4 linked regions of the Caenorhabditis elegans genome follow. The protein of the gene in region 1 purifies or fractionates together with the protein of each later gene. This does not show direct contact. Each region holds a gene or a part of one and is shown in the gene's direction. Other genes may lie near its edges. The genes, in order: clec-170, C50F4.12, F21A3.3 and rab-14.

What was found.
Region 2: the proteins of clec-170 (region 1) and C50F4.12 fractionate together in Caenorhabditis elegans (co-fractionation; one large-scale study listed by BioGRID). This does not show direct contact.
Region 3: the proteins of clec-170 (region 1) and F21A3.3 fractionate together in Caenorhabditis elegans (co-fractionation; one large-scale study listed by BioGRID). This does not show direct contact.
Region 4: the proteins of clec-170 (region 1) and rab-14 fractionate together in Caenorhabditis elegans (co-fractionation; one large-scale study listed by BioGRID). This does not show direct contact.

Annotation. Positions count from the first base shown.
Region 1 is NC_003282.8:1,265,107-1,272,888, forward strand, and holds the start of clec-170 (C-type lectin domain-containing protein), read left to right. Parts: upstream 1-1,759; 5' UTR 1,760-1,769; coding exon 1,770-1,986; intron 1,987-2,270; coding exon 2,271-2,630; intron 2,631-3,586; coding exon 3,587-3,773; intron 3,774-3,819; coding exon 3,820-3,913; intron 3,914-3,976; coding exon 3,977-4,216; intron 4,217-7,782. Other genes in the region: F38A1.13 (DUF7154 domain-containing protein), read left to right, coding at 122-191, 238-320, 362-486, 709-742.
Region 2 is NC_003283.11:9,537,065-9,541,371, reverse strand, and holds C50F4.12 (Transcription termination factor 3, mitochondrial), read left to right. Parts: upstream 1-1,633; 5' UTR 1,634-1,636; coding exon 1,637-1,720; intron 1,721-1,765; coding exon 1,766-1,988; intron 1,989-2,141; coding exon 2,142-2,813; intron 2,814-2,871; coding exon 2,872-3,212; 3' UTR 3,213-3,797; downstream 3,798-4,307. Other genes in the region: C50F4.16 (Uridine diphosphate glucose pyrophosphatase NUDT14), read left to right, coding at 10-479, 574-711, 765-873, 919-1,016, 1,066-1,407; C50F4.4 (COMM domain-containing protein), read right to left, coding at 3,816-4,121, 4,167-4,247, 4,296-4,307.
Region 3 is NC_003283.11:15,516,035-15,520,181, forward strand, and holds F21A3.3 (EGF-like domain-containing protein), read left to right. Parts: upstream 1-1,678; 5' UTR 1,679-1,681; coding exon 1,682-1,757; intron 1,758-1,800; coding exon 1,801-1,920; intron 1,921-1,963; coding exon 1,964-2,098; intron 2,099-2,227; coding exon 2,228-2,312; intron 2,313-2,364; coding exon 2,365-2,457; intron 2,458-2,610; coding exon 2,611-2,762; intron 2,763-3,118; coding exon 3,119-3,317; intron 3,318-3,439; coding exon 3,440-3,512; 3' UTR 3,513-3,518; coding exon of another isoform or gene 3,519-3,563; 3' UTR 3,564-3,639; downstream 3,640-4,147. Other genes in the region: lgc-31 (Neur_chan_memb domain-containing protein), read right to left, coding at 856-965, 3,519-3,563, 3,640-3,721.
Region 4 is NC_003284.9:15,604,122-15,608,402, reverse strand, and holds rab-14 (Ras-related protein Rab-14), read left to right. Parts: upstream 1-1,767; 5' UTR 1,768-1,786; coding exon 1,787-1,892; intron 1,893-2,038; coding exon 2,039-2,283; intron 2,284-2,775; coding exon 2,776-2,894; intron 2,895-2,957; coding exon 2,958-3,120; 3' UTR 3,121-3,768; downstream 3,769-4,281. Other genes in the region: Protein nipi-3, read right to left, coding at 1-431.

The DNA of each region.
Region 1 (7,782 bases):
ATGTAGATCATTGCTCACAGGTCACAGCCATTCAGTTTTTCAGTTAATGGGTCATATTCCTATTTATGATCCTCCTTATCCAATTTACTGTGCTAACCCGATTCTCTCTAGTCAAAACATGATGGAGTTGCCATCAATGAACGTTCCGTTCTCTAGATATTGTTGGGTGACTTTAACAATTCAAGATCACCGTAGGTTCTTGTTCTTTTACTTTTAAAACATTATTTAATCTTTCAGTTCCCATAGATTCCTTTCGGTCACTCAATCTTTCCATAACCAACGACAACTACAGCGGCGGTGACTTGAAAGCTTACCCGGCGGTAATTAAAATGACGTATTTCATTAATATCACAAAATTTAGGATTTTAATGGAATCCTTGCCGGTAATTGGTTTACTTTTAGCCCGGTGACTTACAGTATGAAACTACAGTATAATTACACGAATGGAGCTGAAGAAGCCACTCGAGTCAGAGTGTACTGTAAAAGGTAGTGCTTGAAAAAATCAGTTTTTTCTGATCAGATTGTAACGAAATTAAATTGCAATTTTAAAAGTTTTAGGACAAATCCAAATTGAGGCTACTACACCTTTAAACATTTTTTAAAAACTGCGTATACACGGAAGTCACAATCATTTTTATCATTTTCAATGTATTTTGCGGATAAAAAGACAAATTAAAAAATCGATTGAACAATTTTTTGTTATTTCAGTCCTCTTCCATATTGGCTTCCATACTGTGGCTAAGGCATTTCAAACTCGGCTGATTGGACTCTGATTTAAACAAATTCCAATAAAAATTATTTTCGCTCGACATTATTTTATGCATTGTATTAACTAAAATAAACTTAGAAAAATAGCGAATTTCAGCAAAAAAACTCTGATTTGAACAAATTCCGATAAGTTATATTCTCTCGACATGTTTTATATATCTCCAAAATGTTACTAGTTTTGGTGCCTGGAAACATTGTTCAATTGTTTTTTTTTTAATTTATAAAATACTCAGAAAAGATAAATTGACCCGGAAAATAATACATGAACATGCAATACGAAAGTCAGACGTTTATCATAGAAGTAAACATTAGATCAGAAACTTTTAAAAAATTGTTTTACAATTACCAACAACCCAAAAATTATGGCAAATAGTCACAAGAAAAAGTATTAAAGTCAGTTTTTTCCTTATCAGTTCAGTTATGGGAAGAATTGAAGTAATGAATGCAGCGAAAGGAATCGGGAATTAAAAACGGTTTGAACTTTATCAGTGTAAACGAATTTTATCTTGCCAATTGTACAGAGTCGCCAAAATTCGGTACATAGCGTGTGAATGTTGAAATTTTCTCATTTGACTGATAAACCAGGCCGATTCAACTATTAGGCACTTCAATAAGTTTTGTCGTTTTTTTTCCCCAAGTTTAATTTTTTCTTAGATATTTTTTTGGTTATATAGAAGACTGTTAGAAATGGTAAGCATAACAAAATACCTAATTTTAAGTCATATCGGACCATGATAAAGCTCAGAACTGTGAGGACAACTTTTTAATTTCGCCAAAAAGTTTTTTTTTTATCGAAAACTTTTTTTTTCGTCATCACAGTACTGTCTATCAGATTTAAAATATCAGAAAGTAATCCGATATAGGTGATATTGTTAGGCGTATCACTACTAAAAGTCTTCAATATAACCACATATCTAAGAAAAAAAAAACAGAAAAACTTATCAAAAGGCCTAATACATAAAAAACCATTTCTTATCAAATGTTTTCTCAGTTGACTTCAAATGATACTTCAACTATTTCTTCCCCTTGTTCTTGCTTCATTTGCACACAGTGCGTGTCTTGACAGTCGAGATAAGGAAATCAAAGGGTTATGTTTCACGTTCGTGTCCCAACAGTTGACATTTAATGATGCTCGTAATTGGTGTCATTACCAAAATCCAGTCACTTCTTCTTATTTGGCATATGTTCCTGATCAGTACACCAGCAGTTTTTTGGCCTGTGAGTTGTTAATCTTATCGAAATTGCACTGTCAAATGATAAAAAGAGCCTCATTCGTATTTCTAGCCTTCAAAAAAAGATTACAAAAAAACCATACTAGTATTAGGACAACTGTTGATGTGGTGAATGTAATAGAGACTTTGGGATTGAACCGCTATAAAGTGGTGAAACTTTTTCAAACTCTGAAGAACTTTTTTGTGTCCTTTCTAAAGGCTTTCAACAGAATATTATTAGAAACAAAACACATCTGAGAAAGTTACATGTGAACACTTTATAATTTTTAGCTGACGCTCGAACGGCATTTGAAACAAACAGCGGAAGTTTTTGGATTGGACTGAGTCGAAACAGTTCTTCAAGTCCATTCGCTTGGGATAATGGAAGTCCAGTGACTTACACAAACTTCGGCACTCAACTCGGTCAAAATTATTTGGCTCAAAGCGTGGTGAACACAAAATGGAATGCATTTGGAGAGAACGACAAGAACTTGTTTGTGTGCAGTTATAGTCCTGTTGCTCCACCAACTTTTTCACCTCCGAGCATTTCAACAACTCAACAAATTCCTATAACTTTCGCACCTCCATTAGTTTCTACGACTCAAAAAATTACTCCAGTTATTTCTACAACTCAGAGAATGCCAGTTACAGGTTAGTAAACGTAAAAAGTTATAATCCAATTGCTCCACCAACTTTTTCACCTCCAGTTATTACTTCGACTCAAGAACCAATAACAGGTTTGTCAAAAACAAAAATTTTTGGATTTATGAACTTCAAAACCAATAAAAACCAGCACTCTTGATTTAAATTATGAGCGCTCAATCTTCAATAAAGTAAAAATATAAACAAGGATAAGAAATAAATTTATTTTTCTGAAACTTTGATTATACTATCGGCATTTACCTGCAGCTTCTCGCACCAACTTTAGCTCTCAGCAGCTTTTTGCACAAATTTTGCCAAAAAAAAGTTTTTTTTTTTTTTTTTCATCCAAGTTTAGACAAAGTCTGACTAAAGGTAAAGTTTTTAAGTGCAAACTATTTATATATCTTTTTTTTCTAATTAAAAGCACATCCGTAAAAAAAGTATTCCGTTGTGATTAAGTTTGAATTAAAAAATTTTGCTCAATTTTTGATAGCTTTGTTGTTTTTCTCATGTAATCAAAAATTTGAACTGCTCGAAAAGTTTTTTTTAAATTACTGACTAGCTGGCTCTCCGCTTGTTTTAGGGGGTTTTTGCGAGTCGTCTTGAAAGATCGGGGTACGGTAGTTGTACACGAGAGTTATTGTAGACGTAAACCGAGACAACTGGTTTTGCACAAAATTTATTCATATTCTGAGTAAAAAAGGATTGTCAGTTGATAGAATTGAACCAACGAGCAAAAATTTCTACAGACATGCGCGGACAACCTTAGATGTAGAGAAGTGATCACTATAGATGTTTTCCAACTTTATTCCAATCATCCGATATAGTAGCAAATATCCGAAAATTTGGAAATACGCCCGCCTCTGCTTCTAAATAGCCAGTCACAGTCGACAACTTTTTAGGCAAAATTAGTACCCCTAATTTGTCAGCTCCCTAAATTGAAATTTCAAAGCCTATCTGTTCAGAAGAAAATTCTTGCAAGCCAACTGAAAATGGGACAATACTTTTTGCATTTTCAAATGATTACGGTGCGCAAACTGTGAAAAAAGCGTGGGACGGATATCCTTTTAAAGTTACCCCATGCTCCGGATATGCAATTGCAAGATTTGATGTGCGTGTAGAAGAAAGCATTGTTTATTTCACGGATTTTGGGTATTTATTTTTATCAAAACTGTTCATTCTTGAAATCAAAATTTAGAGACGCCCAGTCATATGTGTACTCCCATCTTCCTGATTCCAAATTGGGATTTAGAGACAAAAAGGCAGGGAGTGACGCACTTCAAATGGTTGAGGTATGTATTTTTTGTCGGATTACAGGAAATTTCATCCAAAACATTCATTTTACTACTTTAAAGAAATTCTACAACAGTAACAAAATTCCTATTTGCGGATCAATTGTCTTAATTCTTTTGAAACGTTATCCAAACGATTGGGATATTTCAAAAACAGTATCACTTGTGAGACAACATCATGGAATAGTTCATGCACTTTGTTCCGCTGATCCATCAGGCGGAACTCAATCAAAAGCGATTCATAGTCTAACTTCCAAAACGAATGGACTGTATAATATTGGAAAAGGCAGAGACTTTCATAACGTGAGTGACGATACACATTTTTACATTTTACGTACCTTATAACCGTATTTACGCGAGCAATATTAGAGGTGTCGATGGATCGAAAAGGGTCGACCCGGAACCCATTGCATAGTTTGGAAACATGATCGCAATTATATTACAGTGCATTTTTTTTTCCACTTGTACAACTTTAAAGGGGGCACATTTACGCGGAATGGTCCCGCCATTGGTCTCGCCACGCGCTTCAAAAATCAATGGATAACGCGTGGCGAGACCATTCCGCGTAAATGCGCCCCCTTTAAAGTTGTAGAAGTGGAAAAAAAATGCACTGTATTACAAAAAATAAATTTTATTTCTTCACATTTTTTTGCCGCGTCCCATTTGGGTCCGACATGCGAACCGTCGACCCGACCACGACGGGTCGCGGGTCGAAAAAAAGGACGTCCCCGGTGCATAGAAATCAAATTTGAACAGAACGGATCTTGTTTTAAAAATTTACGTCACATACCAGACCGTGGAAATTGGTCCTAATATCACGTAAAGATGTGTTTTTAGTTTGGGTGATAATGAAAAAGATCAAATTTTGACCCAAAGTAAAAGGGGACGTCCTGATATTGGGGACAAGGAACATCCCTCGTCCCCCAGTATGGGGACGGGAACGCGTCGCCCCCCCCCCCCCCCCCAAAAAAGGAGCGTCTCCCAAAAGGGTACGACCCTCATGACTGCCCTATGTTCGGTGGAGCGCGTTTGGACCCATCTAGCAACTGAACACGGTAGCACAGAAACTAGATGGCTTGGTTCATGATACTCAGTCTGAAAACCTATATTGGCTACTATCTCGAAAACTAACCCCAAATTTTATTTTGCGATGCATATGAAAAATGACCGCAAGAAAATTCTCTATCTTTTCTATTGAGAAATTTTTTGATTGAAACTTTCCTAACCGGTCAAATTAGGGTTTGTTCGGTAGAGCACGTTTGCACTCATCTAGTTTCTGTACCACCATGTGAACCACCGTGTTCAATCACGGTGCTTCAGTTGCTAGATGGGTGCGAACGCGCTCCACCGAACAAACGTGCATAACTTGGTCGGGAAGTACAAAATCGAAAATTCATCAACAATAAATATAGATAATTTCATCGCGGTCATTTCTTATACAGTGTGGGAAAGTTCTATAGGACCCCCCCTAATTTGAAGGTTTGAGGAACTTCCGAAAATTTTTTTGAAAAACTGCTAATGCCATTCGTTTTTAAATTGAAAAAAACCTATATACATTTTTTTCCAGAAGTTTATCTCAAAAACTGAGGTCGCGCTGGAAAAAACGTCAAAATCCAGTGTGAAACTTCTATAGGACCCCCCGTTTTTTTTCACGATTTTTACTAAAATCAACAGATTTTGGAATTTTTGACAAAGCTCAAATCAAGTTTGAGTTAGAAATGAGTTCAGATAAGCAGTTTTGACTTTAAAAAATTAATACGAAATGTTCTCGTGGGATCTCCAGACTGGTTCTGATTCTTCCGATCTTTGATGTTCAAGTCTGTTTCAAGCTTCCTGGTGCTCTCGGTAATGCCAAAACTTGATAAACTCTCTTTAACAAGTTCCTACTAAAATTCCTAGCACACACACCATAAACATTTTTACGCCATCCCCAAGAAACCAGTCAGAAACAGCGTATTAACAAGTTGCAGTTATTTTTGATCAACAACAGAACATTCATATACTAAAATCAAGAAAGGATCAATAGTTAATCGGGTTTCCTTGTGTGCGGATGATCTCAAACAGTCTGTCCTCCATTGATCTGACCAAACTTTTCAGCTGGTTGTCCGGAATAGACTTCCAAGCGTCGAGAATTCCTTGCTTCAACGATGCAACTGTTGGGTAAGTCTTGTTCTGAGCATACACGATACGGACAAGAATCCCCCACAAATTTTCGATTGGATTGAGATCAGGACTTCGAGCTGGCCAATCAAGAAGGTTGATCTTCTTGAGCTTGAAATAGTCGCGGGTTGAGTTGCTCACATGGATTGTCGCATTATCCTGCTGAAATCTAAAGTCTTTTCTGGAGTAGTGACGAAGATATTTGGAGAGCTCCAGTTCCAAGACGTTCTGATAGTCAGTGCTGTTCATCTTGCTACTGACGAACTGTATCTCAAGCTTCTTCTTCTCCGTGAACGCTCCCCAAACCATCACCGTTCCTCCTCCAAAATTACGTCTCGAAAAAACCATTGGTTCCTTGCGCAAATCGCGCCAATAGTAGCGGCAACCGTCAGGCCCATCGAGATTGAATTTCTTTTCATCGGAGAAGACAACCTAAAACAATGATCCTAATTATTCACTCTTGCTTTTTTAAATTCTCACTTTACTCCAATTCGTTCCCATATTGTTCTTAGCAAATTCCAATCGCTTGAGTTTATGGTCTGCAGAGAGTAACGGAGCAGGGCGAAGTTTCTGACGAACGATTACACCAGATCGTTTGATGACATTGAGGATGGTCCTTTTTGAAGCAGACAATTGAAGCTCATTGCGAATATCTCTTGCCGTCTTACAGGAGTTGGAGGCAGCACGAATCACATTTCGTTCGTCACGCACGGAGAGAGCTTTGCGACGAGGAGCTCTTTTAGATGTACCGTAGCTCACCGGATCCTTCAGATACTCGCGAATACAGTGTCGAGAACGGGAAATTTTCCTACTCATTTCATGCAGGGACACATTGAGCAATTTCATAACATCCAGCTGAGCGCGTTCAGTGTCCGAAAGGGCAGATCCTCGAGGCATTGCAAGTTAGACTGCTTTCGAAGTAAGCTTTCCAGCCTCTATATGTGTGCCACAACACATGCCACAATTCCACATTTAATAATTCACGCAAAAAATAGTAAATAACATCTGTGAGGGACAATTTAACTTGAAATATTGGTCCCATGGAACCTTGTAATCAAAGAAAAACGATTTGATTCCTGATAAGCCTTCCATTGTTTCCTGCTGCATATTTTGCCAAATCAGCTTGACTACACAGTCGAAACATCTAAAGTGCGTGCTAGGAATTTTAGTAGGAACTTGTTAAAGAGAGTTTATCAAGTTTTGGCATTACCGAGAGCACCAGGAAGCTTGAAACAGACTTGAACATCAAAGATCGGAAGAATCAGAACCAGTCTGGAGATCCCACGAGAACATTTCGTATTAATTTTTTAAAGTCAAAGCTGCTTATATGAACTCATTTCTAACTCAAACTTGATTTGAGCTTTGTCAAAAATTCCAAAATCTGTTGATTTTAGTAAAAATCGTGAAAAAAAACGGGGGGTCCTATAGAAGTTTCACACTGGATTTTGACGTTTTTTCCAGCGCGACCTCAGTTTTTGAGATAAACTTCTGGAAAAAAATTTATATAGGTTTTTTTCAATTTAAAAACGAACGGCATTAGCAGTTTTTCGAAAAAATTTTCGGAAGTTCCTCAAACCTTCAAATTAGGGGGGGTCCTATAGAACTTTCCCACACTGTATGCATCGCAAAATCGATTTTGTGACGGTTTTCGAGATAGTGGCCAATATAGGTTTTCAGACTGAGTATCATGAACCAATCCATCTAGTTTC
Region 2 (4,307 bases), on another chromosome or scaffold:
GTTTTTTAGCAATCTTCACCGCATCAATTTCAAATTCGCCGGAGAATCACGGTAAAGAATTTGATAAAATTGACTGGAGCAGCTATGATTCTGAAACTGGCTACACCATTGAACTTTGTGCTGGACTAATTGACAAGGAAGGATTATCTCCTAGAGAAATTGCATCAGAAGAAGTTGCTGAAGAATGTGGATATCGTGTGGATCCTGATGATCTAATTCATGTAATAACATTTGTTGTGGGTGCTCATCAATCTGGAAGTGCTCAACATTTATATTACGCGGAAATCGACGAATCCATGAAAATCAGCGAAGGAGGTGGAAATGTTCATGAGGGAGAAGTAATTACTAAAGTTTATTACCCTGTCAACGTTGCACGTGAAATTGCACGCCCTGCTATTGGAACACATGCAGAAGTGAAAGGACCTCCAGGCGTTCTTTTTGCTTTTCAATGGTGGTTTTTGGTTTTGGATCCAAAAAAGGTGAATAAAAGCATATTTTTATTTAACTTTTGAAGACTGGAAAAACCCTTCTTAAAAAACGTGTGTTTACGACAATCATTTAAAATTTTTACAGAAAGGGCTCATCGCAACTCCACCAACTGGATATCAATGGCAGCCGCACAATGTAAAAACCATTTCGAACGTAAAATTCAACACTGATTTTGACAAAAAGAAGTATGGTTATAATCCAAAGAGAATGATTTTCACAATTGTGAGTTGAAGTAAAGTTCTTAAATTATATGTATAAATGAGAATCTCTTGTAGAATGGAATAACCCGCAACTGGGATTTAGCCTTATGTCCAAACACAGCTACATGTATTCTTGTAGATATGGTGAAGAAAGAATTGATTTTCTTGCAGAAACTCCGTGCACGTAAGTAATTTTTAAATCGAACTTTAATGAAATGTAAGTTTACAGCGGTGTTTGTTGGAAAAAATCGTTTTTTGAAAGAAAACATTGGAAAGCCTCTGGATGAGATTGATTTCTCGAATTCCGATCCTAAAATTGCATACACTGTAAGTCTAGAATGCTGTATTTCCCACAATATTATATGTAATTTTCCAGCTTGAACTCGTTGTTAACCGTGTTCCGGATTTCGACGATCCTCGAAAATTCGCTCGAATCTCAGTGAAGCAACTTGGCTACGATCTTCCAGAAGATTCGTTTAAACTCCAAGCAAAGTGTATTCCGGGAATCGGTCAATCTGGAGACACCCAATCTATTTTTGCCGTGGATGTTAGTAAAGCACGACTTTGTGAGAAGGAAGAAGATGAAGACATTGAAGAACTTCGTGTTTCTTTTGCGGATTTGCCGTCTCTGTACCGACAACACAATATAGGACCACCAACTACTTACTATGCCATTGGATTTGCTCTTGATCAGCTTCTCGAGAGAGACACGCTGTAAATCGAATACATTCCTGCTTTTCTATATTTAAAAACATTTCCCATCGAATTGTACATAGACCTATCTAGACCGGTGTCTTATACGCATCCTGTTTAATGAATAATAAATTATTTTATCATGCAGAATGTGAGATTTCTAGAGACTTCGTGTGTAGAAACCACTATCTACCTTTTTTGAGTGTCAGAGATATCCTTGGACAGGACATTTTAAACATTTTTAAATGCAGACAATGACAGTACCAGCATCGATTGTTCGTTTTATGGGTACTACAGCAATTATTGGATTTCGGCAACAAACGAGAGGCATGACTATGGTAATATCTAATGTAACGTATTTTTATTCTAATTTCTAATTTAAGATTACACCAAAGAAGCCTCCAGATCTTTCCTTCAAACCTGCAACGCAAGTAAAAACTGTTTCGGAGAAGAGTCTTCAAAGTTCTCTCACTGATGAAGAAAGTCAAACTAATTTAGAGATAATTCAAAATTTTGATGACAAATGTCAAATTGAGAACACACGAGAAGTAGCAACAATTTCATCGGCTATTATTGCAGAGGCGCGAAGATTAAAATCTGAAACTGGTAGGGTTTCATAATTTTGATTATATTTCCAGATACTCTGAAAAATTCGTTCAAAAAATGCCGAAACACCATTATTAGTTGAATTATTTTATTTTATCGGAGCACCAGTTGGTCTAAAAGATTTGAAAATTTAACTATATAAAAAAATTTCAGGAAAAGCAACATACCGGAAAATTGAATACACAGAAGGAGAGCTTGATCATACTGACCTCACTGAACCAGCGTCTCCATCGAATCCTCACCCATTTGATCCCTCAGAACTTCCTCCAGTTCATTCGCATTCCATTGTTCCATTTGTAAATCACTCGCCGCTTCTTCGATTTTTAGTTGATATTGGTGTAGACCTTGCTGAAATTGAAAACACGACAACTGTTGGAAAGCATCTACTACGGTTGCAAATAGAAGACGTTCGACAGAAAATTGAATTGATGCAAAACGAAATAGGGTTTGAAAATGAAGCGATTGGTCCATATTTAACAAGAAATCCGTTCTTTTTAATTCAAGATGTGAATGATATGCAAACAAGGCTCAATTATTTAGAGCTTAAGAAATTCACAAAGTCTGAAAGACTAAAGATCGTTGATGAATATAGATATTGGTTGAATTGCAATGTTCAGTTGATTGATTCACGATTGGGATGGTTACAGCAACAGTTCAAGTTATCAGCAAAAGCGACTAGAGAAATTATCGTCAAGGAACCTCGAATTATAATGTTTGGAACTGGACCAATTGAACGACTTGTTAAGATGTTTAACAAAGAACTCAACTTCACTACAAATCAACTAAAAATGTTAGTCATGGAGGATCCAAGAATTTTTATGATGGGTGAGATTTCATTTTTTTATAATAAGTGACTAATTAGTATAAAATTGAAAACTTTCAGATTCTAAATTGGTATCGAAGACCTACAAATACGTTCGCGACGTCATGAAAATCAACAATGAAACTATTCTGGAGCATCCATTCATTCTTCGATGCTCATTAAGCGTCATAAAGTCAAGACATGACTTCCTTAAACGCCTCGGACGAGCAAATTATCAGTTGGCCGAAAAAAAAGAATCGAAAATTGATATTTCTGAAGTTACCGATCCAGAAGGATCTTCAAAAGAAAGCTGTGATCTTGTTAGCCTTGAACATTTTTTACATCCTTCTGATGCTGGTTTTGCGATGCTTGCGGCTAAAACATATCCAGTAGCATTTGATAAATTCCTGAGAAATTCATAGTTTAGTTATCCTGTTTTTGTTGTTGTTTTTTTTCTGTTATTTAGAGCCCTCCCATGGAACTTCATATTAGCGGGTTGTTGATTTAATTTCATTACTTTCATATTTACACATTTATATTATTTAAAATACACATTAGGATTTCAAGCAGGGGTGTGCGGCAAATTTGCCGAATTTGCCGTTTGCCGAGCTCGGCAAATTTCAAAAAAGTAGATTTGTCGAATTTGCCGAGCTCGGCAAATTTCGAAATTTGCCGCACACGTCAAAAATTTTACAGTACAATTTTGATTGATTTTTCGCCAAAAATTTAGTAAAATGACACAAAATTGAGTTAGTTTTATGCTTAAGCAGACATACTACACGGGACTAATTCAGAAACCAGATGTGTGTTAAGAATTCGGTAGTTTTGGTGTTCCAAAAAACATCAAAAATTATCAAAATTTTCCGAGTTTGTTAAGCACGGCAAATTTGCCGAATTTGCCGTGCTTGGCAAATATTGAAAAAAGAGATTGCCGAATTTGCCGAGCTCGGCAATTTTTGAGATTTGCCGCACACCCCTGATTTCAAGCATATATAGTTCAAAATAAAATAATCATTTATCGTTTCTTATCTTTCAAGTAATCCATCTAATGATGATTGCACTTTATTTACAGTCCAGTACAATTTTTCTAGGTCTTTGGCACATAGTTGTACTTGTTTCACTCCTTGATCAGTCGAAAAGGTCAGGACAGCTTCACGATCGGATGATGGAATATTGTTTCGACGTACAACTGTTCGTGAAGTCCAGTCTGTTGACAGAACACGTGGAATTCCGGAATGAGAGCATGAAGCAAGTGATTCGAATAATTGGGAAAAGGTTTCAGAAGTATAGGCTTCCAGAATTCCTTTGACAACAGCATCAGGATAACCGTTCTGAATATTAATTTTCTTGAATTGTTAATTAGAAATTCATTATACCTCTTGTAATGTATCAATAAAAACTTCAGATTTCGGCTGGAAGTAAATGGCATACTTCCAAACATTCAAGAGTTGATGACACTGGAAAATTTGAATTAATTGTATTAAAAATGAACATGCTGCAATTACCAATTTGAAAAG
Region 3 (4,147 bases), on another chromosome or scaffold:
GCGTCTCTCTATCACTCCATAGAAGTCTTAAACTGTGCTCTAACTCAAAATATTGAACATTTAAAGGCGCATAGAGTGTTGATTTCTATTTTTGGAAATTTATTCGTGCTAACTGTGAATTACAAGTTTCTGAGAATTCTTGATATTCGCTAAGTTTTTTTCAGTTTTTTATTTGTCATTTTCCAAAAGAAGCCATTTCAGAAAAAAAAAACTACCGTAAGCTTTTTCGCAGCGAGACCCATCCGAATAAATGCGTGCGCCTTTAAATCATGGCTACGATAGCCGAAAAGTTTCGCTCGTGCCAGGACCTAACATCTCTCAAAATTGGCTTTTTTAACGTATTTTTAAAAATTCTATTGTAGCAAGCTATACAGTTTGCTATACAGTTTACAATGGGTTCGATTTTTTTCTAGAAATAATTTTTTTTTCTTACACATAATAAAATCTTAGGCGATAATAGAGATAGGATAATAAAAAAAAGTGATTAGTACAATGAGATTTATGTGTTTTTATCTGCTGTTCGCGAGAGAAAAAAAGTGACGAGAAGCTAATTTAGATACTCGAACAGTGTAAAAGAGAAAGAAAAGTTCGCGAAACTTTGACCTTTCGTGCCAACTAAAATTCCGGTCCGCGCGCTCAAATGGCGCAGTGGTGAACACGGATGGCTCAGGCCCAGAAAGTCAATGGTTCGATTTCTGCAGAGGAGTTTTGACGATTTTCGATCATTATCTCTTCTCCGTTCCTACTTACGTTCCTCAATTTCCACCCATCATTTTTTACTATTCTCTCACTTATTTTCCCTTTCACTCTCACTTTTATTAAGTGTTCATTTTTTGTCTGTACTCATTAAATCACCTGTAGTACAACGAAAATTCGGGGATCCAAATATCGGAACTCGACAGGAAAATCTCTTCGGCTCCCTCGTAGCTCGACGGGTTCCACTTCAAGAATTCGTCTTCCCAGTACTGCAATGATCGTATATTAAAATAGATAGTAGCGCGCAGCCGACGTTTTGCGGGCCACGTCGGATAAGTTCTTGTGTCCTATGCAAACTTTTTCAGTTCCCTCGGTTCCAGTGAGATCTATTTTTGCAGTTTTCTACCGCCACAAACTGCTGTAACATTACATTTGGCCCCCAACCCGCCCCCTCTTAACTTCCTCGATGTGTTGGCCTTCCCTTATCAAGTACTTGTGTCAACTGGTCTTGAACGACCTTCAATATTCTCCTTCCTTTTCGCCAATTTCCATTTTTATTCCCAAATCATCGTTTTCGATGTACCTCATTTTTTGAGTAGCTTATTACGGTCATGCTAATTTGTTGAACCCCTCTGTGTGTGTTGAACCCCTCAACAGCCGAATTTCGGCGGGTCCTGTAGTGGTTATCACGTCTGCTTCATACACAGAAGGTCGCCGGTTCGAACCCGGCCAGGACCTACTTTTTTCGTTTGACATGCTTTTGAGGAAACAGGCGCGTCCTTCAAATGGAATTGTCCACTTGTATATGCGCGTGTGTTTATTCTCACTTTCGTGTGTATTTCTCATTACTATCGGCGTTTGGCATCGTGTCGTTTTGGCATTTGCGCATCTTTTTATTTATTATTGTATTCTCACTTTTCCCCCCTCCCCCCTTTCCCCTCCTTTTTGCTTTATGGATCTAATGACCCCTCAAACATTGCAGACCATGACCAGGATAAACCTAGTTTTATTTTTATCTTCTTTAGCCGTATGTACCTATTCACAGACCATGACAAAAACAAGTAAGTTTCGCATTCTGCGGCACATCAATTCGGAAATTTTCAGTAATCGATTTTTGCTCTCCGTCCGAACCGAATTCGTGTGGTCCCGGCGGAAAGTGCATGGAATTGTCACTAGGAAATCGGTGTGAATGCCCATTTGGACTTATGGGTAGAAGATGTCAAAGTAACCAGTTTTCGCGTCGAGACCCAAAAACCCAATTTTTTAGGACCATGCCAAGATGTCTACAAAAGTTGTGCTCGGTGGAAGTCAGAAGAACGCTGTCACTGGACGCGGCCGATTTCTCCATTTTTCGCTGACAACTGTGCTTTGTCCTGCGGCCAATGCAAAAATAACGGAAAGCGTGAGTTTTGTCATTCCTCACAAAATGTTGTCCACTGACAAAATGTAGGAAATTTTATGCTAAACACTTTATCAGTTGACAACTTTTTGATAGCTCTTTTGGACCCCAAGATATTCTTGTTTTTTCCAGAGCTGGCGCTCGCTCTTCCACCAATTCTCGACAACATTGAGTGGTTTGTGGGCAGATGGGAGTCAAAGACAAGTGCTCATCATAGGTAAATAAGAATAATTTTTGAATAGGTTGGCATATGTTCTATAAACTTTTAGATTTCCGGAGCCAATGTCCGGACCTTACAAGGAAATCTTGGACGTTCAAATTTCGGAAGTTCCCTCTTTTGACAGACCGCCGGTTAATATTTCGTAAGTCAGAAAAATTTTATGTCTATCGTGTGATGTTATTCGATATTTTACTTGTTTTGTTTGTTGTTCAAGGGTTTTGAGCTTTGAGGTTTTGGCATTTTTGATGGGATGTATGCAAATGCGCCCCGATGAATAACAACCTACAACTTGTAGAGTGCGAGCCGAGACGCTTGATGGGACCGATGTCCACGTGGAATTCGGATTTTTGACGTCTAAACCTTTCCACGAGGATACGGGTTTTGTGGAGTTGAACAAACCGGACGAAGGGGACGATTTGGTGTCGATTGAGCTTGTGACTAATACAGGTAACGGTTAATTTTACGCTGCGGAATTGTTCTCGCTAACCCACGGCATAGCGACCCAGGTCTCGGCAAGTGGTCTATGGTCTCAACTTTCTGTCAAGCTTTGTCACCTTTCTAGAACTATGTAACAAAGAGGGGGTATAATGAAACAGAAAGCTAGCGCTACCGCTGTCATTGATTCTAGGGTCGCGGATAAGATGACCAAGCCGATGGGCAATCTAGGTTCCTAAAGGAGCACACTAGGATGTCAGGAGTGTCATTTGCCGGCTAGTGTTATTAGCCGAGAATCCCAAAATTTTCGGCGACACGAGACGCAGACCATTTTCTTCACCACCCACTTGAGCTACAAATTTCTTCAGGTCTAATGCTCATCGAGGAAGGAACTGTGCGCGGTACCCAAATCCGATTGGAAACCAAATATAAGAAGGGAATGGCTGGAGTGTTCCGAGACGAAATTGTCAAGTCAAAGAGAATGTTCAATTTGATAAATGCCAACTCTTTGGAAGAACGGGTTGTGATGGTTGATGGCCGTGGAGTTACAACCAAATGGTTGAAAAGGTTTACCGTATGATCTTGAGAAAGCGCGGCAAATCTAATGACGTCATATTTTTGTAAAATTCTTTTGCCACGTTTTCTGCACATTAAAATACACTTGCTCGAGATCAACCTCAATTTTCCAGGTACAAAAAAGTGTTCAACTACATGACGGATCTTATCCCGACACCCGTTGAGAAAAAGCGAAAGTCCCTGTAAACTCACCAACTCAAAGCTGCCCGACAGACTGATGGTGTTCTTGACGGCGTCCTGAAATGATTTATTGAAACGGGTCTATTTTATTATTGATTTTTTGTTGTTGTAGAAATTCGAAATAAAAACTTACCAGCTTAACGATTTGATACAGGAATACGCTCATCGAAACTGAGATCACCTTTTTCGGATGGGTCACTGGACGTGTGCCTTTTCTGAAAGTTTTGCAGGTGTAAAAATTGATCAGGAAGACATTTTTGTTACGGGGCATGCGACACCGCACGGGTTGCGTAGGATTGCAGTGGAAGTTAAAAACCCGCGAGGTGTCGGCCACGAAGTTCAAAAGTCCCTTATCTAGGTCATCTTTTTTGCAGAAAAACCGTACTGTATATACATAATCAAATTTAGAACTTTGTGCCACACACTCCAGTGCATTCTCTCATTGAAAATCCATTTTCATTACCACTTTCTCCGGACCACGGAACAATTGAATTCGGTGGCGCGCAAGAAACTATTTGCTAAAAAGGAATTGAGAGGGGCTTAATTTAATTTTTCACCAGAAGCCGAACTCTCTTGTCGATGGTTTTTTTAGTGAAGGAGTTCTACTAGAGATAGGAATAGAGTCTATGAAGAGATTTTGA
Region 4 (4,281 bases), on another chromosome or scaffold:
TCTCCATTGTTATATAGATCCGCAGCCGGAACCATAGATCCACGTGTCAGTTGCACGTAGTGATCATTCAACGCTTTGATGATGTGCGGGGGTAGACGACCCAGTGGACGAAGTTCAAGTGTTTTTGCAGGTCCGATTGAAGAATAGCAGATTGGAAGCGTCGTGCCAAAATTCTTTGGATCAATCTTCGGAGCATTGCGAACTCTATAGTGGTACTCTGCTTTGACATTTGGGAAGACGACATTCTTCTTGGCTAGAACATCGTAAAACACCCTTGGACGACTTGAGGTATTTCCAACAAAAGGAAGAGTTGTGGGCCTCCTTCTTGAAACGGCATCCTGACGAACTGGTTCAGAAAGATCTTTTGCGGTTTTTCTGACTCCAGTTCTAGGATTGGCTACGGTTTTGGTTTTGCATTTTGTACGAGCCATACCCTGAAAAACAAAAAAAATAATGTTTAGGGAACATTGTTACAAAAGGAGAAGAAGCAAATGAGATAAAGTTGGTAGACTACAGACAAGAAAATGCAAAGAATGATAACCCTAGAATTGGTAAGAATGAAGGGGTGTTATTGCGAAACATTACTGGCTGCGAGGGTTTCACAATGAATTTTCCGTTTTTTTTTTTTTTAATATTTCGCAATACTACATTGTAGATGACTAGAGGGAGGACCGCCCTTCTTCACATATCACAGAAACGACGAGAGGAATCGGAAGAGAGCGCGTGGCGATGAGAGAAGCTCGTGCATCAGCAGGTATTGCGAAATATCATCGCGGCACTACGATCAACACAAGTGTCAGAGAAGGAAACTACGGGGACCGAAACGAGAGATAGAGAATGAGTGGGTAGATGGTCGAATAGTGATAAAATCAAATGTCTCGAGAACTGTAAGACTGTTCACAAACGAGTTGTAACCGATTAGGGGAGCCATGGTTGGAAATTGAAGTCATAATTTGCAATTTGATTAGGCTATTAAGCATATTTAATATTATAGTATTTTACTCTGTTCTGAAGATGAATTTGAAGAGCAAAACAAGAAGCAGGAGGAAATAATTGTTTTTTCCATGTCTTAGGCATCTACGTATATGAAAAAGAAAAAGCATGATCTCTTTGGAACAAGGAAAAAGATAGCTGGCTCAACACCAATGACAGATGAATAAGGAGAAAAGCTAGAGCCCACACACACGTGCGCATTCACTCGTCATTTCACTCTTCTCTCTTTTTGTCTCTCTACGTGTTTTTTTCTTCATCTCCAATCCGTCTCCTACGCGGCACATAAGGCGAGAGTCAGACAGCACAGTACAGCGCACACCGAGAGCGAGACGTTAGAGACACGCAGTAGAGACCAGTTCCGTTGCAAGCGTCGCGGTCGATAGTACGCGACGCGTCGTTTCTCAGAGAAGACAGAGATAGAGGAATGGAGGGGCCCCCGTTTTTGTCCAGTGTCTCTTTCCTCGTGATATTCCATTGCGTAGCACTCCTCGTACAACTGCTCCTCTCTCTCTCTCCGACATTGCCTCTTTTAGCTTTCTGGAGGCCAATGGATTCTCTATTGCTTTTGGACGTGGCGTTCATCTTTCTCTATCCCAACTACTTCCACATTTGTCTCTCTCTCCCCGTCGGTTTTCCCCTACTTCCAACTAATGACAACTTGGCAGTCAGTCTCTAATAGCCACTTTCTTTTGTGTGGTCTATCTATTCTCATTGCTACTTTTTTGTATCCTTTTTTCTGAAACGAATAACCAAAATATAATCCGCAACTTTCAGGTAACAAAAACACATAAAAATGACGGCTGCTCCTTACAATTATTCGTATATTTTCAAATATATTATTATTGGTGATATGGGTGTCGGAAAATCGTGTCTTCTTCATCAGTTCACAGAAAAGAAGTGTAAGTCCCGCATTCCTGGAAAATCGATATATCATGTTGTTTGTGTCAACATTAGTCATCAACAAGAGACCTGTTCCTCCGGTCAATAACCACCGTACAATCACTGCGGGCAACAAACGCAAAAACTAACTATAACTAACTTTCAGTCATGGCCGACTGCCCGCACACAATCGGCGTGGAATTCGGCACCAGGATTATTGAGGTCAGCGGACAGAAGATCAAGCTTCAAATCTGGGACACGGCGGGCCAGGAGCGATTCCGCGCTGTGACGCGATCATATTATCGTGGAGCAGCCGGAGCCTTGATGGTCTACGACATCACTCGCCGTTCTACCTACAATCATTTGAGCAGCTGGTTGGCCGACGCAAAAAGCTTGACCAATCCAAATACGGTAGGTAAAATATATACTTGGTTTATAATTTTTACTCAAAAGTAGGGTTGAAAAATATATAAAAACTCGAATTTATACTTTATAAAAGCATTCCCAAGTTCCAAAATTAAAGCGAATTTGAACTTTCAGCAAAATTTCAAAACTACATAGATGTACGCCATGTTTAGTAAATTGCAATTTATGAATTTTTGCAAGCATAACATTTATTTGCAGCTCAAAAGATCGTAGACTATAAACTGAATTTCAATCAAAATTCTCATGAATCAGATTTAAGCTGGAAAACATTCAATCTGTATGTGCTCTAAATTGTGTGTTTTATCGTTAAACTAATATCTAAAAAAAACGAGTTAAAATTGGGTTATCTAGTTTTATTTGGAGAGTTAAAAATCTACCTGTATTAGTAAGAAAACAGTATTTCGTCCACTTTGCACTGATTTAATTTTACAATAAAAATGAGATTCAAGCACCAATTCTCACAAGTTCCTTTTTCAGGCCATCTTTCTTATCGGAAACAAAGCCGACCTCGAAGATCAACGTGACGTGCCATACGAGGAAGCAAAAGCTTTCGCCGAAGAAAACGGGCTCACTTTCTTGGAGTGCAGTGCGAAGACGTAAGTTTCTTCCCCCCACCCCCCCACTGCAAATTCATCAATTTCAAATGGCTTTTTTTTCAGTGGCAGTAACGTCGAAGACGCTTTCCTCGAAACGGCCAAGCAAATCTATCAGAATATCCAAGACGGAAGTTTGGACTTGAACGCCGCCGACACTGGCGTCCAGCCAAAACAGAACTTGCCACGTGCAGCTGAAAATAATGGGAAGAAGGACTGCAACTGCTAGTTGATGTGTGCAAAGTCCCTTCTTCCCCTCAAATCATTCCCAATTGATTTTAATGTATTTTTTTAAATTATTACTTTCTAATCCGTCTATCTGTATGTGAGAGCTTGTCACCCATTATCATTAAAATGCCAGAAGAATCAACATTGGGTGGTATGGTTTCTTGTTTCCAAATTCTAGTTGCCTGTCAAAATCTAAACTTGTAATCACTATAAAACTACTCTGAAATTCAGAACTTTGTGTCACTTTTACTTACCAATTCCCAGTCTTTTTCAGTCCCCCACCCATTACTCACTATCATCATCGAACTGTGAACCGTTCATAATATAACACTTTCGCTCACCCAACCAACTGCATATTTAGTAGATTTTTTCTGTCAAAAACCGTTTTGAACATTTTTCCCCCATTCCTTGTGTGATAAGAAACATCTATATGATCCCACCCCATTAAGTGCTATAATTGTGCTTTGAAAATCAAAAAAACTAACGATTTTTGTCATTTTTGTCACTTTTCCTTATAAATAGTTCTCTGTTGTTAGTTTTATGAACCTATGATTTCAGAAAACTTTTTCAAAATTTATTTTTTTTGTTTAATCATTTTTCAGCAAAATTCAATTGTACATATAATATTTAAAAAAACTATTCATTGAAGCATGAAGTGCTCAATCTTCAAAGTTAACATCACCAGTAATAGTCAAATGTGTTTTCAAGTGTGCGTAAATTTTTCTAATGACAGAGTAATCCGTGGCTGAAATGGGATTCTAGTCACGGGTGGGCAGCAAACGATTGTTTCCGGCAAATCGGCAAATCGGCAGATTGCAGGAATTGCAGATTTCCGGCAAATCGGCTAATCGGCAAATTGCCGATTCGCCAAATTTGCTGGAAAAAAAGAAACTTGCCAAAAAATTTCTGCAAATTGTGGTTTCGCACTTATTTTTTTGGAAATTTTAGAATTCCAATTTCAAATGACAAAATTTTACGCATCCTATGAATATTCCTACATCTATTTCGAAAAGTAAGCAAATTCTATGAAAATATGTAGACAAAACGGAAAAAATTCAAAAAAAAACGGTTTTAAGAGTTTCCGTTCTATAAAAAGTCCCTCTAAAAATTTCCGGGAAATCTGATATTCGGCAAACGGCAAATCGGCAACTTGCCGAAAATG